3 linked regions of the Arabidopsis thaliana genome follow. The protein of the gene in region 1 interacts with the protein of each later gene in a pairwise test. Each region holds a gene or a part of one and is shown in the gene's direction. Other genes may lie near its edges.

The links.
Region 2: the proteins of PEP (region 1) and HEN4 interact in a two-hybrid assay, tested with the Arabidopsis thaliana proteins (one study listed by BioGRID).
Region 3: the proteins of PEP (region 1) and HUA1 interact in a two-hybrid assay, tested with the Arabidopsis thaliana proteins (one study listed by BioGRID).

Annotation. Positions count from the first base shown.
Region 1 is NC_003075.7:13,194,803-13,200,843, forward strand, and holds PEP (RNA-binding KH domain-containing protein), read left to right. Parts: upstream 1-2,266; 5' UTR 2,267-2,477; coding exon 2,478-2,837; intron 2,838-3,071; coding exon 3,072-3,324; intron 3,325-3,483; coding exon 3,484-3,632; intron 3,633-3,714; coding exon 3,715-3,972; intron 3,973-4,130; coding exon 4,131-4,322; intron 4,323-4,461; coding exon 4,462-4,737; 3' UTR 4,738-5,039; downstream 5,040-6,041. Other genes in the region: AT4G26010 (Peroxidase superfamily protein), read left to right, coding at 5,767-6,041. UniProt on the Arabidopsis thaliana protein: Regulates vegetative and gynoecium development. In concert with HUA2, antagonizes FLK by positively regulating FLC probably at transcriptional and post-transcriptional levels, and thus acts as a negative regulator of flowering.
Region 2 is NC_003076.8:25,741,555-25,748,701, forward strand, and holds HEN4 (RNA-binding KH domain-containing protein), read left to right. Parts: upstream 1-1,791; 5' UTR 1,792-1,887; coding exon 1,888-2,493; intron 2,494-2,640; coding exon 2,641-3,549; intron 3,550-3,651; coding exon 3,652-3,921; intron 3,922-4,261; coding exon 4,262-4,696; intron 4,697-4,848; coding exon 4,849-4,925; intron 4,926-4,983; coding exon 4,984-5,122; coding exon of another isoform or gene 5,123-5,188; exon of another isoform or gene 5,189-5,661; coding exon 5,662-5,826; 3' UTR 5,827-6,098; downstream 6,099-7,147. Other genes in the region: AT5G64380 (Inositol monophosphatase family protein), read left to right, coding at 1-16, 302-489, 568-964, 1,070-1,470; AT5G64395 (uncharacterized protein), read right to left, coding at 6,648-6,743. UniProt on the Arabidopsis thaliana protein: Functions in floral reproductive organ identity in the third whorl and floral determinacy specification by specifically promoting the processing of AGAMOUS (AG) pre-mRNA. Functions in association with HUA1 and HUA2.
Region 3 is NC_003074.8:4,024,273-4,031,484, reverse strand, and holds HUA1 (floral homeotic protein (HUA1)), read left to right. Parts: upstream 1-2,344; 5' UTR 2,345-2,485; coding exon 2,486-2,876; intron 2,877-3,640; coding exon 3,641-3,888; intron 3,889-4,282; coding exon 4,283-4,339; intron 4,340-4,431; coding exon 4,432-4,503; intron 4,504-4,659; coding exon 4,660-4,716; intron 4,717-4,818; coding exon 4,819-5,016; intron 5,017-5,196; coding exon 5,197-5,234; intron 5,235-5,331; coding exon 5,332-5,378; intron 5,379-5,478; coding exon 5,479-5,597; intron 5,598-5,683; coding exon 5,684-5,737; intron 5,738-5,832; coding exon 5,833-5,973; intron 5,974-6,056; coding exon 6,057-6,209; 3' UTR 6,210-6,409; downstream 6,410-7,212. Other genes in the region: AGC1.5 (AGC kinase 1.5), read left to right, coding at 19-889; AT3G12685 (Acid phosphatase/vanadium-dependent haloperoxidase-related protein), read left to right, coding at 1,224-1,385, 1,465-1,599, 1,689-1,726, 1,809-1,875, 2,001-2,240. UniProt on the Arabidopsis thaliana protein: Involved in flower development. Functions in floral reproductive organ identity by binding AGAMOUS (AG) pre-mRNA and promoting its processing. Functions in association with HUA2 and HEN4.

The DNA of each region.
Region 1 (6,041 bases):
GTGCTGTTTCTTATATGGATATAACAGTTCGAAATAAGTTATCGTCTTCATACATCCCTAGAACCCCAACGACTGGACTAAAACCCTCAACTTCTAAAATAAGACTTATTGTAGAATAATACCAAATTGTGAAAAAAAAAACAAATATAAATTATTGACTATAGTTTGAAGTAAGTCGTAATTTTTTCCGCAAGGTAAATTCATTCAAAGTTAAAATGTGGAGAGTGAGAGAAAGAGAGTCGCGTGGCTATTGGGTAATGAGAAACGATTGGACCCATTTGGTATCATTCGGAAGTGATATGTGGCAGAGGGCAATCATACGTTTTCGTCATAGCGTTAGATTTTCTTACAGTTTCTTAGAGATTATTTCGATTGTTTGTGTCAAACGAGTTTAGTATGTTACTGCTATTGAACAGTAGTATTTTCTCATGTATCGATATGAATACGTTTACTCTTTTTCTTTTTTTCACACAATCAGATGAATATAGGGATGAATATACGTAGTTTTGTCTTTGTCATATACTAGATTATATTCCCACCAGTCATTTTCCTATGTATTTAACAAGACAAGACGTAGAAAAATGAGAATTTTAGTACTTGAGTTAACATATTTAAAGATTATATTCCCATCAGTCATTGAACATATGTGTACATATATATACGAGGAGAATCTATAACTTAGTAAGGAGGGAAATATGAGATTTTATTTCTATAGAGAAAAGAAAGGATAAAACCTCTCTCTGCCAACACTGGCCACCGTCTCCAAAGTCCATCCCAGTTAATTTTTATTTTTTGGAATCTTCTTATGTTATTACTCTTTCTTTTCTTATGACAACATGTCAACATGTGACCTGTCGTCTTCTACTTTCTTTTCTTCAGCTTTTCTCCTTTTAAGCAGAATATTCAATCTATCTTCAAATTCATATCTGAGTTTTGTACTATAAAAGAAAAGCAGACATTAAAAAAGATTTGAATATAAAACAAATGTATTGGAGTGGTAAAGCACATCTTCATCAAACATTTTTAAGGAGCATCAATCTAATTGGTCGATGGAAATGGAAGTAAAGGAATAGAAGATTGTTTGTGTTCCATGATGATGTATATATATGCCTAATTAATGTTACTGTTAGTTACCTTTGGATAACAAAGATATTTAAAGCGGTTTAATGCTTATTAACGGTTGATGGATGTTACCTTTTCTTTTTGACATCACGGTAGATGTTACCTTTCATAGGTGTTGAATAGACAGATTGGGGACGTTAATTAGTAATGATGTAATTAGTTAGAGCTAAATAGTGCTAATAAATATATGTAAGAAATTGTTCGGAAAGTAACTAAAAAAAGTTCAATTCATGCAAGTAGACACTTCAAATGTGATAAATGTATAAGTATGATGTTAAGCATGTGACCCTTGAGAGTCGATTAGGGCACTGTACAAGATTGACCCAAATAGTTACAAACTACAAGTGAACTCTCTTCCATTACATATCTACGTGTATTGAGGGGACCATTATCGTACGTATACACGTATATATGTTTTGCCCTAAATTCCCAATTTTAATTCAGCATGGGGGACGGACTCATTCAATAGCATCGTCTTTCACTTTCCTTCTTCGGTTTAAAATCTCATTTTAGTTTCTGATCCAAAAAAAAATGTTTGATCAAAGATCAAAAACTTAGATAGAAACAAACTGTTTTTTTTTCTTAAATCAAGAAAGTCTAAAAAACTAAGATACAAAAAGGGACTCGCAGCGGCAGAGAGATAAGTATCTTACGGGCCAGCAGATAATTTCTATGTTACGTCCCTTTCATCCCCATTGCATATTGCATATGAAGACAACGGATATTAACTAAAATCTTCCAAAATTACGGTATAATGAATAATAATACACTTCTGTCTCATATAGTATTCTATTATATTGTTCGAAAATGTTCTTATTTACATATCTATTTATATTGTTAATTGATTGCGGCTATTACTGTGGATATTCATCGTAACTATTTTAATCAATACAAATCATGCAAAATAGTGAATGACTTAGAAAAGTTGAAACCACATATGATTGAGTTTAGGGGGAAAAGTATAAAAGAAAGCATGACTAGTATGTTACTATGTAGTAAGCTTCAAACATATATTTAAGAAAATACTATATATAGATACATATGATATAACATAACATTAAAATATATGGTGAAACATTTTTTCTTAATATCCTAAGCTTCAAACATATACCCAAGTAGAGAAGAGTTGGAGTATTCATTCTTTGGTTAAACATAGACCTAATACATAGCTCATATGGACAATTTTTCGACAAAACAAAAATGATAGCAAATGGGCTAAAATGGTTTCATATCGAAAAGCCCAAACCATTAAGCCAAAACGACGTCGTACGATATGACAGCGGCGATTCCTATAACCACCACCAGAGGTTAAAAAGTCTCTCTCTTTAGCTATCTTTTTTGTGTTACCGGTTCAAATGGCCGCCGTCGCAGATTCCGTTGAGAACAACGGTTCCATAAACCTCCCTGAGAATGAAAACCTTATACCGGCGGGATTCAGTGCCGCCGCATTGCTTGACGAAAACTCTGGCGCTTTCCCTGAATTGAATCAGCCCGATAGCTTAGCTGCTGCTGAGACTACCTTCCCCGATACGAACGATTCCGCGGAGGAGAGGTGGCCAGGTTGGCCTGGTGATTGCGTGTTTCGTATGATCGTTCCGGTGACTAAAGTCGGAGCTATTATTGGACGCAAAGGTGACTTTATAAAGAAGATGTGTGAGGAGACTCGTGCTCGTATCAAAGTCCTTGATGGTCCTGTTAATACTCCCGATCGCATCGTTAGTATCTCTATCTCCTTCTACGTGATTTACTGTGTTCAAAGCTAATTCGAATTTGGGGATTTTTAATTTCTATTTCTAGGGTTTCTTAATCATAAGTAGGAAGATTCTTGAGTTGTGATCATTAAAGTTGTGAACTTTTATCCCCTAGTTGTGCAATTTGATTACTTTATGGTTCCAATTATAGTTTGAAGTGTTCACTAAGTTAATTACTTGCTCAATGTTATGTTTTAGGTGTTAATATCTGGTAAGGAAGAACCAGAGGCCTACATGTCACCGGCAATGGACGCAGTGTTGAGGGTGTTTAGACGTGTTTCAGGGTTGCCTGATAATGATGATGATGATGTTCAAAACGCTGGAAGTGTCTTCTCTTCAGTGCGTTTATTAGTTGCTTCAACGCAGGCGATTAATTTGATTGGAAAACAAGGATCTTTGATTAAGTCTATAGTAGAGAACTCTGGTGCATCAGTTCGTATTTTATCAGAAGGTATTATCTATCATCTGCAGTTTTCTGTTTTTACCTAATTGATCTCTTTGTTTGTGATTGTTAAAGTTTAGTTTTTGCTATTTCAATTCATGTCTGTTTTTTTTTCTAAAATTGGTGTCTTTGTTGCCAGTTTCTTATTTCTCTACTTTTTTCTGCCAGAGGAAACACCGTTTTATGCTGCACAGGATGAGAGGATAGTGGATTTGCAAGGGGAAGCTTTAAAGATTCTTAAAGCATTAGAAGCCATTGTTGGACACCTTAGGAGATTTTTAGTTGACCATACTGTTGTCCCTCTCTTCGAGAAGCAAGTAAGCTTGCTTGTTTCAATCGAGATTATTCCTTTCCCTTTTTTTTCTTTTCTGAATTATTGTTATCTTTTCTTATCTTCAGTATCTAGCTAGGGTCTCTCAAACTCGCCAGGAAGAACCGTTAGCTGAAAGCAAGTCATCTCTGCATACTATTTCGTCAAATCTAATGGAGCCTGATTTCTCCCTCTTAGCACGGAGGGAACCTTTGTTTCTGGAGCGCGATTCTCGGGTGGACTCACGTGTTCAGCCTTCGGGAGTTTCTATCTACAGTCAGGATCCTGTACTGTCTGCCAGACACTCCCCAGGTCTTGCTCGGGTTTCTTCTGCTTTTGTGACACAGGTAGATTCCCTTAAATACAACATCAGCTCCTGAAAACGAGTTTAGCGATATCATCTTACTTGTTATGATTAGTCTTCCAGCAGTGATTTTGATCTTAACACATCTAACTTGTTTCTCTGAACTAGTAGTGACGTTTCTATAATGGATTCTCTTACTAGGTATCTCAAACGATGCAAATACCATTCTCCTATGCAGAGGATATTATTGGTGTAGAAGGAGCTAATATAGCCTATATCCGTCGAAGAAGCGGAGCTACCATAACCATTAAAGAGAGTCCGCATCCTGATCAAATCACAGTGGAAATCAAAGGCACAACTTCTCAAGTACAAACTGCTGAGCAACTAATTCAAGTAAGAACACATTCGATCTGTATATATATATATATACTTTCTGCGACGTGGCATTGTATAAACACTAAGATTATGCTTGCTTTGCATCCTACCCCGCCTGCTTCATCATAACCGTATTCTTTTGTTTACGTGTGTGTAGGAGTTCATCATCAATCACAAGGAACCAGTTTCGGTATCAGGGGGATATGCCAGAATCGACTCTGGATATGTACCTGCATATCCTCCTCAGCTAAGTAACCGTCAAGAGCCGCTCCCGAGCACCTACATGGGCACAGAGCCGGTGCAGTACAGACCAACAGCATACTCTCAGCTGGGGGGTCCTTCTACCTACACACCGACCCTGACTGGGCAAACTTATGGTTCGGAATATAGACCAGCTTCTGATGTTGGTGGCTACAGCAGTTATAATCTTTGAATTGGTTGCTGTGTTTAAGTTTATTTGCAGATTAATTTCTCTTTAGAGAAAGGCTCATTTATAATATAATAGAGAGGGAAAAGGAACAAGTTCTAGAGAGCCAATGTAGTTGTTGGAATGTGTAATGTAAATCTAGGTGCCCTTTTTTTTTTTTTTTTTCATACCTCGATATATGTCACACTACGTTTCTGGTCAAATAAGAACATGTTTTTTCTTTCTTTTTTGTATGAATTTGTTTATCAGAAGTCAGAATGATTCAGTTTTAAGAAATTTTTAGTTAACGTTTTACAACAATAACCTGTAGGAGCTTTTTCTTAATTGAATAAGTTTAAGCTTTCTATTTTGATCTGATGATGCTAATATGAAAGCATTCTCCGAAGAACCAAACCACATGAGACTTTTTGATTTCAATGTCCATTCGTAACTAGTAACGGAAAAGATCAGACAGAAAAAATGTACCAATCATTCCATATTTGTAGTTTTACATGATATAGTAATATTCTCTAGGTGTTTAAGTTGTATATTTCATGATTTTTACACATTTTAAAACCTGATTAAGGCCTGTTTTTAACTTTTTATTTCTTCAAACCGTAAGAAACAATCCTTGCAAGAAACAATCCTTGCTTCTTCTTCTTTTTTTCGTCAAGAAACAATCCTTGCTATATTTTCATTTTTACAGCTTCTTGTTTTTAAGAGAGCAAATATAATAAATAAGGACGGCTGAAAAGAGGTATATGTATCACAAAATTAAACAAAAGAGAATCCACCTATCGACATAGACGTGGTATCCTTTCGATATCGACAGAATTATGTTGAACGCAGCAAGTTGGCCATTAATCAAATCTTTGACGCGTGGAATCATTCTATTGTCAATGAAAACAAATATTAAAGAACAGGTACTACCTATATACCTAATAGATTCCTCTAACCCGTCAAATGTCAATGTATCGACCGTTACAATTATGCACGTCTTCTAATTGAAACATTCTCTACTTTGCCAATGTCTTATCCCCAAAACTACATATAAATATGCATTTACGGGGGCTTAGAATTTCATCACAAAACTTGCAAGTATCATTCACAGGAGAGGGAAGGGAGAGCTCATCATACGAAATGAGGTCAATCACAGCTTTGTTTTTCCTTTTCTGTTTCCTTGCTCCTTCTGCTTTGGCGCAGCTCCGAACTGGGTTCTACAGCCGCTCATGCCCCCGTGCCGAATCTATCGTGGCTAGTGTTGTTGCCAACCGTTTCAGAAGTGACAAGTCCATTACTGCAGCATTTCTTCGTATGCAGTTTCATGATTG
Region 2 (7,147 bases), on another chromosome or scaffold:
CTTATAGACTTTGCAGGTAACAAACTGCTCTGTCTGAACGAACTTAGCACTGTCTCGATAATTCAAGTTAATGTGTTGTCTGTCATCCATTGTCAATCTATGTCCGAAAATCCGTAACTTTAGTGGAAATACCCTGAATTTAGCATCTAAAATGTGCTTAATTGAGTAAGACAAATCTTGGAAACTCTCTTAGACGAACAATGGTTGGGTTTTGACTTTTGACGGTTCCTCTGTATAAGCAGTTTGATTGAAGTCTTAAATTTATTATTATTTTAAGTTGTTCTATGAAATTTTCTGATAGGTAGTGGAGGAGGAGAAGGGAAAAATGTAGGAGAGGATCTTGTGGTGTTGCTTTACCACTTACAACATGCTTGCAAAAGAATCGCTTCTCTTGTCGCCTCTCCTTTCAATTCTTCACTCGGAAAGCTCTCTGTTAACTCCTCTAGTGGGTCAGACCGAGATGCGCCTAAGCCGCTCGATATTGTCTCGGTCTGTATCTTATTACTCTCTTTTTTATCATGATTCATATCAAGATTCAATCTTACAATTCATGTTTCCGTTTTGCAGAACGATATCGTCTTGTCCTCTCTTAGAAACTCAGGGAAAGTAGCAGTAATGGCTTCTGAAGAAAACGATAGTCCAACTTGGATCAAAGATGATGGTCCTTACGTTGTGGTTGTAGATCCTCTAGATGGATCACGGAACATCGATGCTTCGATTCCCACGGGAACTATATTTGGAATTTACAATCGTCTCGTTGAGCTTGATCATTTACCTGTTGAAGAGAAAGCTGAGCTCAATTCTTTGCAGAGAGGCAGCAGGCTTGTAGCTTCCGGTTATGTGCTATACTCTTCAGCCACTATCTTCTGTGTTACACTTGGATCGGGAACACACGCCTTCACGCTAGACCATTCCACAGGAGAATTTGTTCTTACCCATCAAAACATCAAGATCCCAACTCGGGGTAAAAAGCGTCTAATGACACATATGACTTGATCCATTGCGACATTCCTATTCATGGCTCTGAACAACCTGCATTAATCGTTGTTTTTTGTATGATCAACAATAGGACAAATCTACTCAGTGAACGATGCGAGGTACTTTGATTGGCCAGAAGGTTTAAGGAAGTACATTGACACAGTGAGACAAGGCAAAGGTCAAAACCCGAAAAAATACTCTGCGCGTTATATTTGTTCTCTAGTAGCTGATCTTCACAGGACTCTCTTATACGGTGGAGTGGCTATGAATCCAAGAGACCATCTTCGTTTAGTCTATGAAGGTAACCCTTTGGCTTTTCTCGTGGAGCAAGCTGGTGGCAAATCCTCTGATGGAAAAAGAGGGATACTTTCGATACAACCCGTGAAGCTTCACCAAAGATTGCCTCTGTTTCTTGGGAGCTTAGAGGATGTTGCTGAGCTAGAGAGCTATGGAGATGTGCAGCAGACTGTGAACCCTGGCTATGAAGTTTAAACAACTCCTCTGTTTCATATTATCTGTAAAAACAATAAATGAATCGATGTTAGATTTGGTTGCTTGTAACATTATGTATTAGGAAAGTTAGATCCGTGTATATATCTGTTTATCAAGATTCAAGATCGACTGGTATAATCACAATTCACAAGTTTATTATGTTTCTTTATCAGAAGCAATCTTTCTTCGATTTCTAACACAGTCCCACTCCCATAAATTGGTTGTTAGATTTCGGTTAAGTTTAGTAAGAATTTTTAAAATCGGTACGGTATGGTTTGCCGTTAAATAATAAATATATAATGCGGATATTTGGCGCAAGTTAGCAACTTAGCGTTAAAGACCACCAAAGACTTCTCTCAAGTCCTCTGCGCCGGAAACCGCCGTGACGAGATTGGAGAGGGAGAGAGAGGAGAGATAATGGAGCGAAATAGCGTTAAATTTCATGCAGAGAAGAGATCCGGAGCGTTTGATCCAGGTTCAGGATTCGGATCTTCCAAGAGGGTCAAAACGCATCACACGCAGCTGCTCTCAGCTCTGGTTGTGCCGGTGGGACACGCGGCGTTTAGATTGCTCTGCCCTTTATCACACGTCGGTGCGGTGATTGGAAAATCTGGAAACGTAATCAAACAGCTCCAACAATCAACCGGAGCTAAGATACGGGTCGAGGAGCCTCCGTCTGGGTCTCCGGATCGGGTCATCACGATAATCGCACAAGCAGATTCGAAATCAAGGGTGAAATTGGGTGCTAATAACAATGGCAATGCAGAAGGAGAGAAAAAGGAGGAGGAAGTTGAGGTATCTAAAGCACAAGGAGCGTTGATTAAGGTATTCGAGCTTTTAGCGGCGGAAGCTGATAGTGATACGGTCGTGTGCCGATTGTTGACGGAGTCTAGCCATGCCGGTGCTGTGATAGGCAAAGGTGGTCAAATGGTTGGGAGTATTAGGAAAGAAACTGGCTGCAAAATTTCTATACGGATTGAGAATTTGCCGATTTGCGCTGATACTGATGACGAGATGGTGGAGGTACGAATTCTAATTGATACTAAATTTAGAAACTATGAATATCTCTTTGGAGAAAATGTTTTGAGCTGAAACGTTGGTTTAGCACTCTATAGATGCTTGTTTTTTTGCAGATTGTAATGTATTGGTTTTCATATTGAACTATGGCAGGTTGAAGGAAATGCTATCGCTGTAAAGAAAGCTCTTGTGTCTATCTCCCGCTGCTTGCAAAATTGTCAATCGATTGACAAGGTAAGGATGGTTGGAAACAGACCTCTCGAAAAAGAGTTCCAAGCATCTTTGCATAGGCCTATAGAGACAATAATTCAGGAGTCACTTCCTAGGTCCGTTGAAGTTAACCCTTACGATTATAGGCTGAGAAACGACGAGATATTTCCCCGGGGCACTGTAGCTCGGGCTAATGATGTGATTCCTCATGATACTTTGCATCTTAGGCGTATCGAGGCGGTTCCCCAGGGTGCTTTACGCATGCATATTGAGGCAGACCGGCAAGATGTTTTACGCAGGCATGTTGAGGCGGACCGGCAAGATGCTTTACGCAGGCGTATTGATGTAGTTCCTCAAGAAACGTTATACATGCCTTCTGATGTTCTCAGGGGAGATTGTTTTCGACAGCATAGAGAGAGGGATGATTCTCATGATTCCTTGCATAGACCTTTCGAAATGGTTCCACGTGATGCTATGGGCATGCCTTTTGAGTCGTTTCCACGTGATGCTTACGGAAGGCCTATTGAAACAATGACACAAGAAACTCTTCGTGGGCAAAGTGCAGATTATCTTGCACATCGTTATTCGACTTTAGACACACATCCTCACAGCTTCACTACGTCTGCTTCAATGGCTAACACTGCCACCATGAAGCCACCTCCATCAGAAGTGGAAGTAGGGAACCAAGATGTGGTTTTTAAGATACTTTGTTCCACTGAGAATGCTGGCGGAGTTATCGGGACTGGAGGTAAAGTTGTCAGGATGCTTCATAGCGAAACAGGTGCCTTCATAAATGTGGGAAATACACTTGATGATTGTGAAGAACGTCTGATTGCAGTAACTGCATCAGAGGTTGGTGTTTTCTATTTCTTCCCATTTTCATGGATGCTTATGCAGTACTGTTCCATCTATTTACTATCCTTGGTTGATAATTGTTGCTTGTTCATCATGTAGAACCCTGAATGTCAAAGCTCGCCAGCCCAGAAAGCGATTATGCTTATTTTTTCAAGATTATTTGAGCTTGCCACTAACAAAATCCTAGATAATGGCCCAAGGTCATCTATCACTGCACGGCTTGTTGTCCCAACAAGTCAGATTGGTTGTGTGCTGGGAAAAGGAGGTGTTATTGTTTCGGAAATGCGGAAAACCACTGGGGCTGCAATTCAAATTTTGAAGGTTGAGCAGAACCCAAAATGTATTTCAGAGAATGATCAAGTTGTGCAGGTACTTAGATCATTTGTTGACCTTATGGTTATGGTACATATTCCACGTGACAATCTCTCATCTGATTTGTGAGCATAATTTGGAATTAGCATGCTAAATGTTAGTGGTTTGCTTTTCATTACCGAATCCTGTGTTGGTCTCTATTCACCTTGCACACTTGTCAAAAGTTGGTGGTGTTTTAGTTATTGCTACATTCTGAAAGAAATTGAAAGATTCATGCAAACAGAGAGTTAAAAAGATCATTTACTGTAAACTTGGTTGAGAGATTAACTCGGTCATATTGTAAGCTCCATTGTTCCTTAAGTTGTCTGGCATAAACTAATTCTTTACTGGCCAATAGATTACAGGAGAGTTCCCTAATGTGAGAGAAGCCATTTTCCATATTACAAGCAGGCTGCGAGACAGTGTTTTCTCCAACTCAATGAAAAATTCCTTAGCCAAGAGCAGCTCCGCCTTAACTACTGAGAGATTCTACGACAGACAATCAGACAATCCTCTGTCTATTGGGTCTCATCAATCCGTTAGTAATCCAGCTACCAACTCCTCAAGTCTGCACAGAAGATCTGAGGATTCCTTTTTAAGTGGGTCTCATTCATCAGTTAACTATTCCAGATCAGTTGGCACAGATCCTTACATAAGACCAGAAGACCCATTTCCTGATAGGTTTAATCCCTCAGCAGGCTATTCTCATAATTTTGGTCGGCGGTTTACCATGGACCACAGTGATAACTCCCATCACTTAACTGAGGCCCCATCTCGTTTGTGGGCGTCCCCGGTATGTCTCCATCTCTCTGTATTCTCCCATCCTCCCCTTTCTGCTGTACATAAGTACTTGTTGATACTCCCATTCTTCCTCTACACATTCAGATTTTGAACATTTGTGCTTCTATCTAACTTCTGTAGCTGATAGACATAGTTTTTATGTAGCCTCCAGCAGCTCCAAGAGGCTTATCTGATGCCAGTGGCGGATTATCTTCTGCAAGGGCTGGCCATGTACTTGGCAGGTAAAAGCACTACAATTATAGACAGTTATGTGAGATAATTACTCTGATCTTTGTGTAGTTTACATGCTCGCTTGGTCTTTTCTAGTGGACACAAATCTGCCATCGTTACAAACACTACCGTGGAAATTAGAGTTCCAGCTAATGCTATGAGCTTTGTGTATGGAGAGCAGGGTTACAATCTGGAACAACTGAGACAGGTAAGCCATTTTTTGTTTACAAATCTTTTATTGGTTTTCCCCATAGCGTCATCCAAAAGAGGTTAGGCCATGATTAATTGCTCCACAAGAGCAGCCATAGGTTTTGGTTTCCATTGGCTGCTCTTATACGTAAGTGAACTCTAGGGTTACTAAAAACGGAAGTGAACTCTAGGGTTACTAAAAAGAAAGCATGAGAAAATAAAATTCATATACGTAAAGTCTTATACATGGTGCAAACAATCGTGCTACCATTAATCTAAGTCAATAGGAGTCTAGGACTATTCTCAACGATGTATAACTTTACTCAAAAAAAACTGTTTTAAGTCACGAAAACTCCATCTTCGTTGAAGTACTCAACGTTTGTTCCATTATTCAGTGTTACAGTCGTTGTTTAAAAACAGAATTTTCATCTAGCCCCATCAGTCTGAAATAATCATCTACAGACCAAATAATTAGTGTCATAAAGATGAAGTAGCACCCCGTTGGTTGACTTAAACGGCTTAAGCATAGCTTATACCATTTGATGCTTGTTTACTCAGATATCGGGTGCAAGGGTCATAATCCATGAACCTCCTCTAGGAACAAGTGACAGGATCATTGTCATATCTGGAACACCTGATCAAACCCAGGCTGCCCAAAACCTTCTTCATGCCTTCATCCTTACAGGTGAAACCTCATTGTCCAAAAAATACAACCTAAACTAGAACCACACACTTATAACCATACAGAAAACAAAAAAAAGGAAACGAGCTCTCACATGTTTCTTGTCCCTTTTATTTAATCTCCCTTTTTTTTTGTTGATTTGGATCTTTTGAACTCTTGTACAATATCTTTTTCGTTTTAAGTACTTTGAAGGAATCAGTTTGATGTCTTGCCTAAAATTTTCTTCTTTTATCCCACATTATTACGCATGGAACTGAGATTTGATTGACAGTATATAGAGGGACAGTCATTGTCATAAAATGTTCGGTACTAGATGTTTACAAAAGGAAAACTTGATAACAACGGGTCAATATGTTGGCTGCTTTGGATTGCTAAAACCTGCTTGCACAATTTCTTTGTAGACTGCCTTTTTTCCAGCTTTTGTCACCTTCTTTAGCTATGAAAATCAAATGGTAGAAAATTTATAGGAATTTTACTCTATAAGTTCCAGAATCAAAGTTGTTTGACAAAAAAAAAAGAAAAAAAAAAAAAAAAAAAGTTCCAAAATCAAAGCCTGAAAATTGTTACCGTCAACAGAGTTTCACTGATGGTTTTGTAAACCCCTTCATTTTATAGCTTTCACAATCTCAGAACATTTGTTCTTTCTGTAGCAAAACTACACTACAAACTTTATCAGAGATTCTATACACATTTGATATACCATACTCGCTATCAGTAATCAAATCAATAGTAATGCAAAATTAAGATTCATGCGTAAAAATAGTGCAAAAGCGAAAAAAACTATGAAATTTGAGTCTATAGAAGAGGGTCTTGCGAGGTTGAATAATATTCGTATATATTTGTACATTACGTTTGTTCGTTATCATCCAAAGATGAAGAAGATCTTCCTTGGAGTTAACTTCCTCAGAATCAGATGTGGAGCTTTTGTACTATAAACATCAAACCCCCAGCCATTCATTCCACTTTTTTTTTACAAATTACAAGTATGTAAAAGATATTTTTCTTATAATTTTTTGTTGACTAATTTTTTATATATATAATTTCGCTAGTGTAAAGGTACTTTGAAATATGAATTTCCTCGATGTCGAAAGTTATGTTTGATCGTTGAATTTGATGCGAAAAAGACGAGGAAGAATGATTTGAGGGATAAGTAACAAAAGTCAGATATTTTGGGCTTTTCTAGAATCTTATGTTTGGGCCCAAATTAAATAACGGATGATTTAATGGATAAGTAAGTAGCAAAAGTCAGATTGTTTGGGCTTATCTAGAATCTTAGGTTTGGGCCAAAATTAAAACAACGGATGATTGATGGAGGTCAGATATTTTTGGGTCTTTCTAGAATCTTAGGTTTGGGTCAAAAAT
Region 3 (7,212 bases), on another chromosome or scaffold:
TGATGAGTTTGTTGACAGGTTCTACGCGTCTGAAGTGCTATTGGCTTTGGAGTATCTACACATGCTGGGGGTTGTGTACAGAGACTTAAAGCCAGAGAACATCCTTGTTCGAGATGAAGGCCACATAATGCTCTCAGACTTCGACCTCTCCCTCCGTTGCACCTTTAATCCGACCCTCGTTAAATCCTCCTCAGTCTGCAGCGGGGGAGGTGCTATCCTCAATGAGGAGTTTGCTGTCAATGGCTGCATGCATCCATCCGCCTTTCTTCCCCGCCTACTCCCTTCCAAGAAAACCCGTAAAGCGAAATCAGACTCTGGTCTCGGTGGCCTCTCTATGCCAGAGCTCATGGCAGAGCCAACAGATGTGCGGTCAATGTCCTTTGTGGGCACACACGAGTACCTAGCTCCAGAGATCATACGTGGCGAGGGACATGGCAGCGCTGTGGACTGGTGGACATTCGGGATCTTCCTTTATGAGCTCCTCCATGGGACCACCCCGTTCAAGGGGCAGGGAAACAGAGCCACGTTGCACAATGTGGTGGGTCAGCCGCTGAAGTTCCCGGATACCCCGCATGTGAGCTCAGCGGCACGTGATCTCATCCGCGGACTACTAGTGAAGGATCCACACAGAAGGATCGCTTACACGAGGGGGGCCACAGAGATAAAGCAACACCCTTTCTTTGAAGGAGTGAATTGGGCTCTAGTTCGTAGTGCTGCCCCACCTCACATTCCAGACCCCGTGGACTTGGGACCGTACGCGGCCGCTAGAGGTAAGACCAAGAGCCATGGAGGTGGTGATCACTGTAACTCAATGAAGCCGGAGCCTCTGGTCGCCTGTGCTGCTGGTCCCACGGATGATACGGCGTATATAGATTTCGAGTACTTTTAGACTTAAAACTCCACAAGCTGAAAGTTTCGATATGTTTGTTTTTGTTCATATTCTTTAATTTTGGCGAATACAAATTGTGATTTATAAAAGAAGAACAGATGACTTGGTTTAAGAGACTAAAAGAGTTTTACTAAAAGAGTTAAAGCAGATTTTGTGTGTGAGATAACAATTTGTCAATGAAAAAATCCACAAAAGCTTCTCTGAGTCAATTAAAATGTCCTAAGAGACAACACTCTTCTCGACATAACAGAGCGTCAGAACCATTGGTTCCAAATTTCTCGCTGCCTTATTCTTATCGTCATCCTCCGACCAAAGTTCCATCTTCTGCACAGAGATGTTGATGAAGCACTGTTTTGTGTCTCATAACGCCAATGATCTCTGTTTCTCTTTCTCCAACTCCAAATTCAATCTTGCAAGCTGCCCAAAGAAGCCACCTCGTCTCACCTGCGTTGTCAATGTTGGATTCCAAGATATCGCTGAGGTCATCCACAACAAGGTTTCGCCTTTTTCTCTTCTTTCATTCCTTTTTTTGGAGGGTCATCGTCACTTAGGCTTTTGATTTCACCGGCGTGAAGGTACTCATAGCTGCTGGGACTTCTGCTGTGATTGGGCAGCTCTCAAAGCCATTCACTTCTGTCGTTTTGTATGGGAAAAATCTGGACTTTAGAAGTGTCTTTCAAGCTGGAGGTTTCCCTTCAACACATTCTTCTGTAAGCTTATCCTTTTTTTATTCTTGTTTCCTCTGGTAATATTGTTTGTCTACTTCTCTGACATTTTGGCCTAATTCTTGAGAAACCAGTCTGTTGTGGCTGCAGCAACTGCTATTGCTTTTGAAAGGTGATTAGCCTGAACCTTTCTCTTCTCAATTCCCCTAAATATACTCAGCTTATGCAATTTCCTGAATATGGTTTGGCTTCAGGGGATTTGCTGACTCCATTTTTGGTCTAACTGTGGTTTATGCTGGCCTTATCATGTATGATGCCCAGGTAAAATAGTCTATAGAGAAAAGCTTAGGCTGGCTTTTGTTCAATAGGTCTTTGTTGGTTATTCTCAAATTCTCAATGTCTGATTCTAGTGTTATCTTAATGTCTCACTGATTGTAACATTGCAGGGGGTGAGGAGAGAAGTTGGAAAACATGCCAAAGTGTTGAACAAACTAACAGCTAATGCTCGTAGAAGTGAAGTAATGAGTTTAAAGGGCAACGAATCTAACAAAGCTTTGACATCAGAAGAGATCAGTGAGGAGATTGCTCCTCCATTGAAAGAATCAATAGGACACACTGAAGTTGAAGTCATAGCAGGGGCTTTGTTCGGTTTCTTAGTTACCCTCAGTGTTTATTCCCTGATGTAAAAAAGCTCCCAACTTTATAAAAACTATATATTTTTTGTGTTGATAAGAAAGAAAGAGAATTTAATAATGTGCAAACTGCAATAAAACAGAGAATCAGTGGTAATGTCAAATCAAGTTTTATGGATCTGAGAATTTTTGTTCTGTTTGAGTTGGTTGTAAACCCCACAAACACAACAATTTTGATAATTTGTTTGACACCAAAAAAGTAGAAAGCTTTTTCCTTTAGGGTTTCCTTTTTCGATCGAATGGCACATCGTCAATTGTATAGCTACGCCCTTCAACCTTCTTATGCTGCTGCTGCCTCCACCGTATCTCCAGCTCCTCCTCCGCCGCAACAACCACTGCCGCCAAAAACCGGTCTTTCTTCTCTCTACGGTTCTTCTGCTGACCATTACTTTCCGGATACCACGTATCGTTTCTTAGCTCGTGATGGATCCGAAGCTTTGAGCAACTATTCAGGGACTCTTGCATCGTCTTCCTCTATGTACCATCATTTGCCTAACACGACGGCATCGCATTTGGCGTATCCTCAGCTGCTTCAGCATCAGGAAGTTGCTTGGCCACCTGGTGTGGAGGTTCCCGGTGCTGCTTCCGCCGTCGAGCCACTTCCTCCTGGTGTCAAACGCACCTCTGAAGGTAGGCTCTTTGTTTACCTTACTATTTATGGGATCTGCATCATTTTCTTATTTATTGCTTGGAGAACTATGCCGCATAACTTGAAAAGTTAAAGACTTCAGCTTTCCCTTTTCTCTGCTCATCGTGATACTCTAGTTCTGTAGCGGAAATTAGTGTTTTTGATGGTTTGTTTCTTCAATTGCAGCATAAAAAACTCAGCTTTAGTCATGGTCTCTAGCCTGATTCTTTCTAGGATAGATTTTAATTTACATTTGCTCAAGCACAATGATGTTGGTTTGTATTCCTCTGTGCTTTCTCGTTAGCTGAAATAGAGGTTGGATTGGTTTGGCCAATTGCTTTGTTTTGAGTCTGGACAACGCGAAGCTTGACAGTTAGAATCATCTTTCAGGAGATGCTTAGGGATTGCATCTATAAACTATATAGCTTATGGTAGTGTTCTTGATTAAGTCTTTGTTGCTTTAGGATTGCCTAACGATAATTGTTTTTAGTTTTGACCTTAATGTTTATTGGAACACTTGGTGATTTTGCAGAATTGATTGATGATTTATGTTTTGTTGTAACTCTATGGTTTCCAATAGATTTTCAGACATGATTGTATGTAAGCCAGAATTTCTTACTGTAAGTTTAACTAAAGATACAATTGATTATTGATGCTATATCTTGGTTTTTGCTATAGTATCTCCCAAATTTATTTTCAAATTATACTTATAGTCAGTATATATCTTCTCATTTCGTTGTATATTATTGTTTATTATGTAATTTAGCGCTCTACTATCCGACTCTGTTGGGTGCCCATAATACAATTGGTCAAACCGAAGCTTGGTATACTACAGACTATTTTACCAAGCGCCCTAAGTTGGAGAGTACAAGCCATTTGCCTATATATCCACAGAGGGCAGGAGAGAAAGATTGTACCCACTATATGCAAACAAGAACATGTAAATTTGGAGAAAGCTGCAGGTTTGATCATCCTATTTGGGTTCCTGAGGGCGGAATCCCAGATTGGAAAGAGGTGATCGTTTACTACTATCTAAGTATTTCTTATGCCCTCATATGATTTTTACATTATTATGATAACGTTTTTCTATATTCTGTTATGTACTTATATGTTTTATACTGTGGGAGTTTGTGCCTAATTACTTTGTAACTATATATATTGTTTTTGTTTGGTATACGAGGTTATAGAATTACTACATTATCATGATAGTGTAGGTATAGGTATGACAAATGGTATCTTATTGTTATTCAAGATTTGAGCTTCCCGACTTCTGCAACCGTGTTTGTTATCCTTGCTTTTCCCTTTGTCAGATCATTCCTTGACTTGGAAGAGACATCATACTCATTGTCTAGGCATTACATGATAAAATGATATGATTGTTTTTGCTTATGAATATCTTTTCATTCAGGCACCAGTTGTTCCAAATGAAGAGTATCCTGAGAGACCAGGAGAACCAGATTGTCCTGTAAGCTGTTCGTGAAAACTTTTCGAGCTATTTTATTTCTGTTTCGCCTGAAGACCTGAGACTATCTTTCTTTTATTTTCACTGTTATCCAGTACTATATAAAAACACAACGCTGCAAATATGGTTCAAAGTGCAAATTTAATCATCCAAGAGAAGAGGCTGCAGTAAGTGAATTTTCCTTTTCCAAATAAAATTATCCCTCGGGTTGTGTATTTGCCTGCAGACACTCGCATAAAATCTTGTGCTTGTAATATGTACTGCTTTAGTTTTTTCTTGGGCTGTGCATGCACCTAGAAGCTTGATGCTCTTCTTTATTTCAGGTTAGTGTTGAAACTCAAGATTCATTGCCTGAGAGGCCTTCTGAACCTATGTGCACAGTAAGATATAAACATAATTGATTGACCTATCCTATTTTTATAAATGCTCTTACATATGAAACTAATATCGATTATTAATTTGGCATTTCTACTCTGCATCAGTTCTACATGAAGACTGGAAAATGTAAATTTGGTTTGTCATGCAAATTCCACCATCCAAAGGATATCCAGCTACCATCATCGAGTCAAGATATTGGTAGCAGTGTGGGGTTAACCAGTGAGCCTGATGCCACAAACAATCCGCATGTCACATTTACCCCAGCATTGTATCACAACTCAAAAGGACTACCTGTTAGATCGGTAATGAATTCATCTTCACTTTGCATAAGACTGACTTATAATCATATAGGCACAATTTGTGACTTTCTACTATCTTATTGGCACTATACTTAGAACTGATTATGGTTTGCTAGCATTGTATGCTGACCTGTTCTGACGTCTGAGAATGAAGTTTCACTAATTAGATTGTAGCTTTTTCAGGGTGAAGTGGACTGCCCATTCTATCTCAAAACGGGAAGGTGAATATCTCTTGTATAATACTATTTTGTTGTTTAGAACATTGAAACAAAGAACGTGACATTAACGTTCTAACTTGTTTTCCTTTTCCATAATCAGCTGCAAGTATGGAGCCACTTGTCGCTACAATCATCCTGAGAGGACTGGTTTGTGATCATGCCAAAATTTTGTGGTTTTTAGAACCTTTAACGTATTACTTTTATCCCTAAATTCTCATAATGTGCGATGTTTTGATTCTGTGCACAGCATTCATTCCCCAAGCTGCTGGGGTAAACTATTCTCTAGTTTCATCGAACACTGCGAATTTGAACCTTGGGCTGGTTACACCAGCTACCTCTTTCTATCAGACTCTTACTCAACCCACGGTAAAAGCCTTTATTCATGTTGTGAGAAATATTCAAGAGCGCTTCTTTAGTTGATAGGGGTTTAATTAGAGTGGAAATTGTTTCAGCTTGGAGTGATTTCAGCAACTTATCCCCAAAGACCTGGACAATCAGAATGTGACGTTAGTATCCTTGTTTCTTTTAGAGATTGCTGAGCTTTTTCTCCCACATGTTAGTTGAAATTTTATACCAAAAGCTCTGTCTTTCAATATTACAGTACTACATGAAGACAGGGGAGTGCAAGTTTGGAGAGAGATGCAAATTCCATCACCCAGCAGATAGGTTAAGTGCAATGACCAAACAAGCTCCTCAACAACCAAATGTAAAGCTGAGTCTTGCAGGGTATCCCAGAAGAGAGGTACCTATAAAGTGGTATTATTAGAAGCCTGCATGTTGTGAGTTTGTGTGGTAATCTCATAGACAAAACAAAAACTGTTGCAGGGTGCGCTTAATTGCCCTTATTACATGAAGACAGGAACTTGCAAATACGGGGCAACATGCAAGTTTGACCATCCTCCTCCAGGTGAGGTGATGGCTAAGACCACTTCAGAAGCCGATGCTGCTGGAGCAACCAACACCGACACTACTCAATGAGTTTCCCAGCTTTGTGTAACATAAGATGATATCTTGTTGTAATCCTAGTTTACTTCCTATGTACTGCATCTGTTTCGTTTCGAAATGCTTATCGCTCGTGAGTTCTCTACTTCTCTTTATCATCCTAAAACAAAAAAGATATCGTTGAGTGAGTCTTCTTTTACTCAGTTGAGCTCATAAAAGCAAAATTGTTCATCACCACTCTTCTCTCCTCAATGATCCAATTGAGCATTTATCTGCCGTTGATTCGGTTCTCTTGGATAAATATCGTTTCCATTGTGATTTTGTTTATAGCAATTGTCAGTAAACTCCAACTAATCTCCACAATAAGATGAAACAACACGTAACAACAAGATGTGACAGAGTGACGACAGAGAGCCAGTGCATGAAACATGCTTCTTCAGCAAGACACATGTCGGTGCTAACTGCTAAATCAAAAGTGGGTCCAATGTTTTGTTCTTAAGAGTCGAAGAAGAGGACATGACATGAGAAACAGAGGCAAAGGAAGAAAACATGGACTAGTTGTCTCCGTGTCTCTGATTTTAAGTTTTGATGAAACATGTGGAAGGCCTCTATTAATGGTATAACGACAAATGATGAAAGTAGCAAAGGAGGACTCAAAAAGTTTGATGCCTTTTTGATTGGATCTTTTAAAAATATGAGCACACTTCCCTATAATACTTCTATAATCCAAAATACTCTTTTGGGCCTATCTTACCAAAATTATGCAAACTTCCACAACACAAACACGAGTGTCACAAACCCTAAATCTAATCTCAAGAGTCTGGAGCAGAAAAATAAATTTACCATGGTTTTGAAATTTACCGTTTCAGTCCCTTTTTATTTTATTTTCTTACTCAAGCCCAATGTTGATGTATTATTTTGAGATTAAAAAACTTTTGACCAAATAAAAAAACTATTTTGATTTGCTTTCAATTTGGGTTTAAATAAGAGTGAGGGTCTCGCAGGTTAGCTTATAAGCCGCCGCCTTGAAAATCCAGAA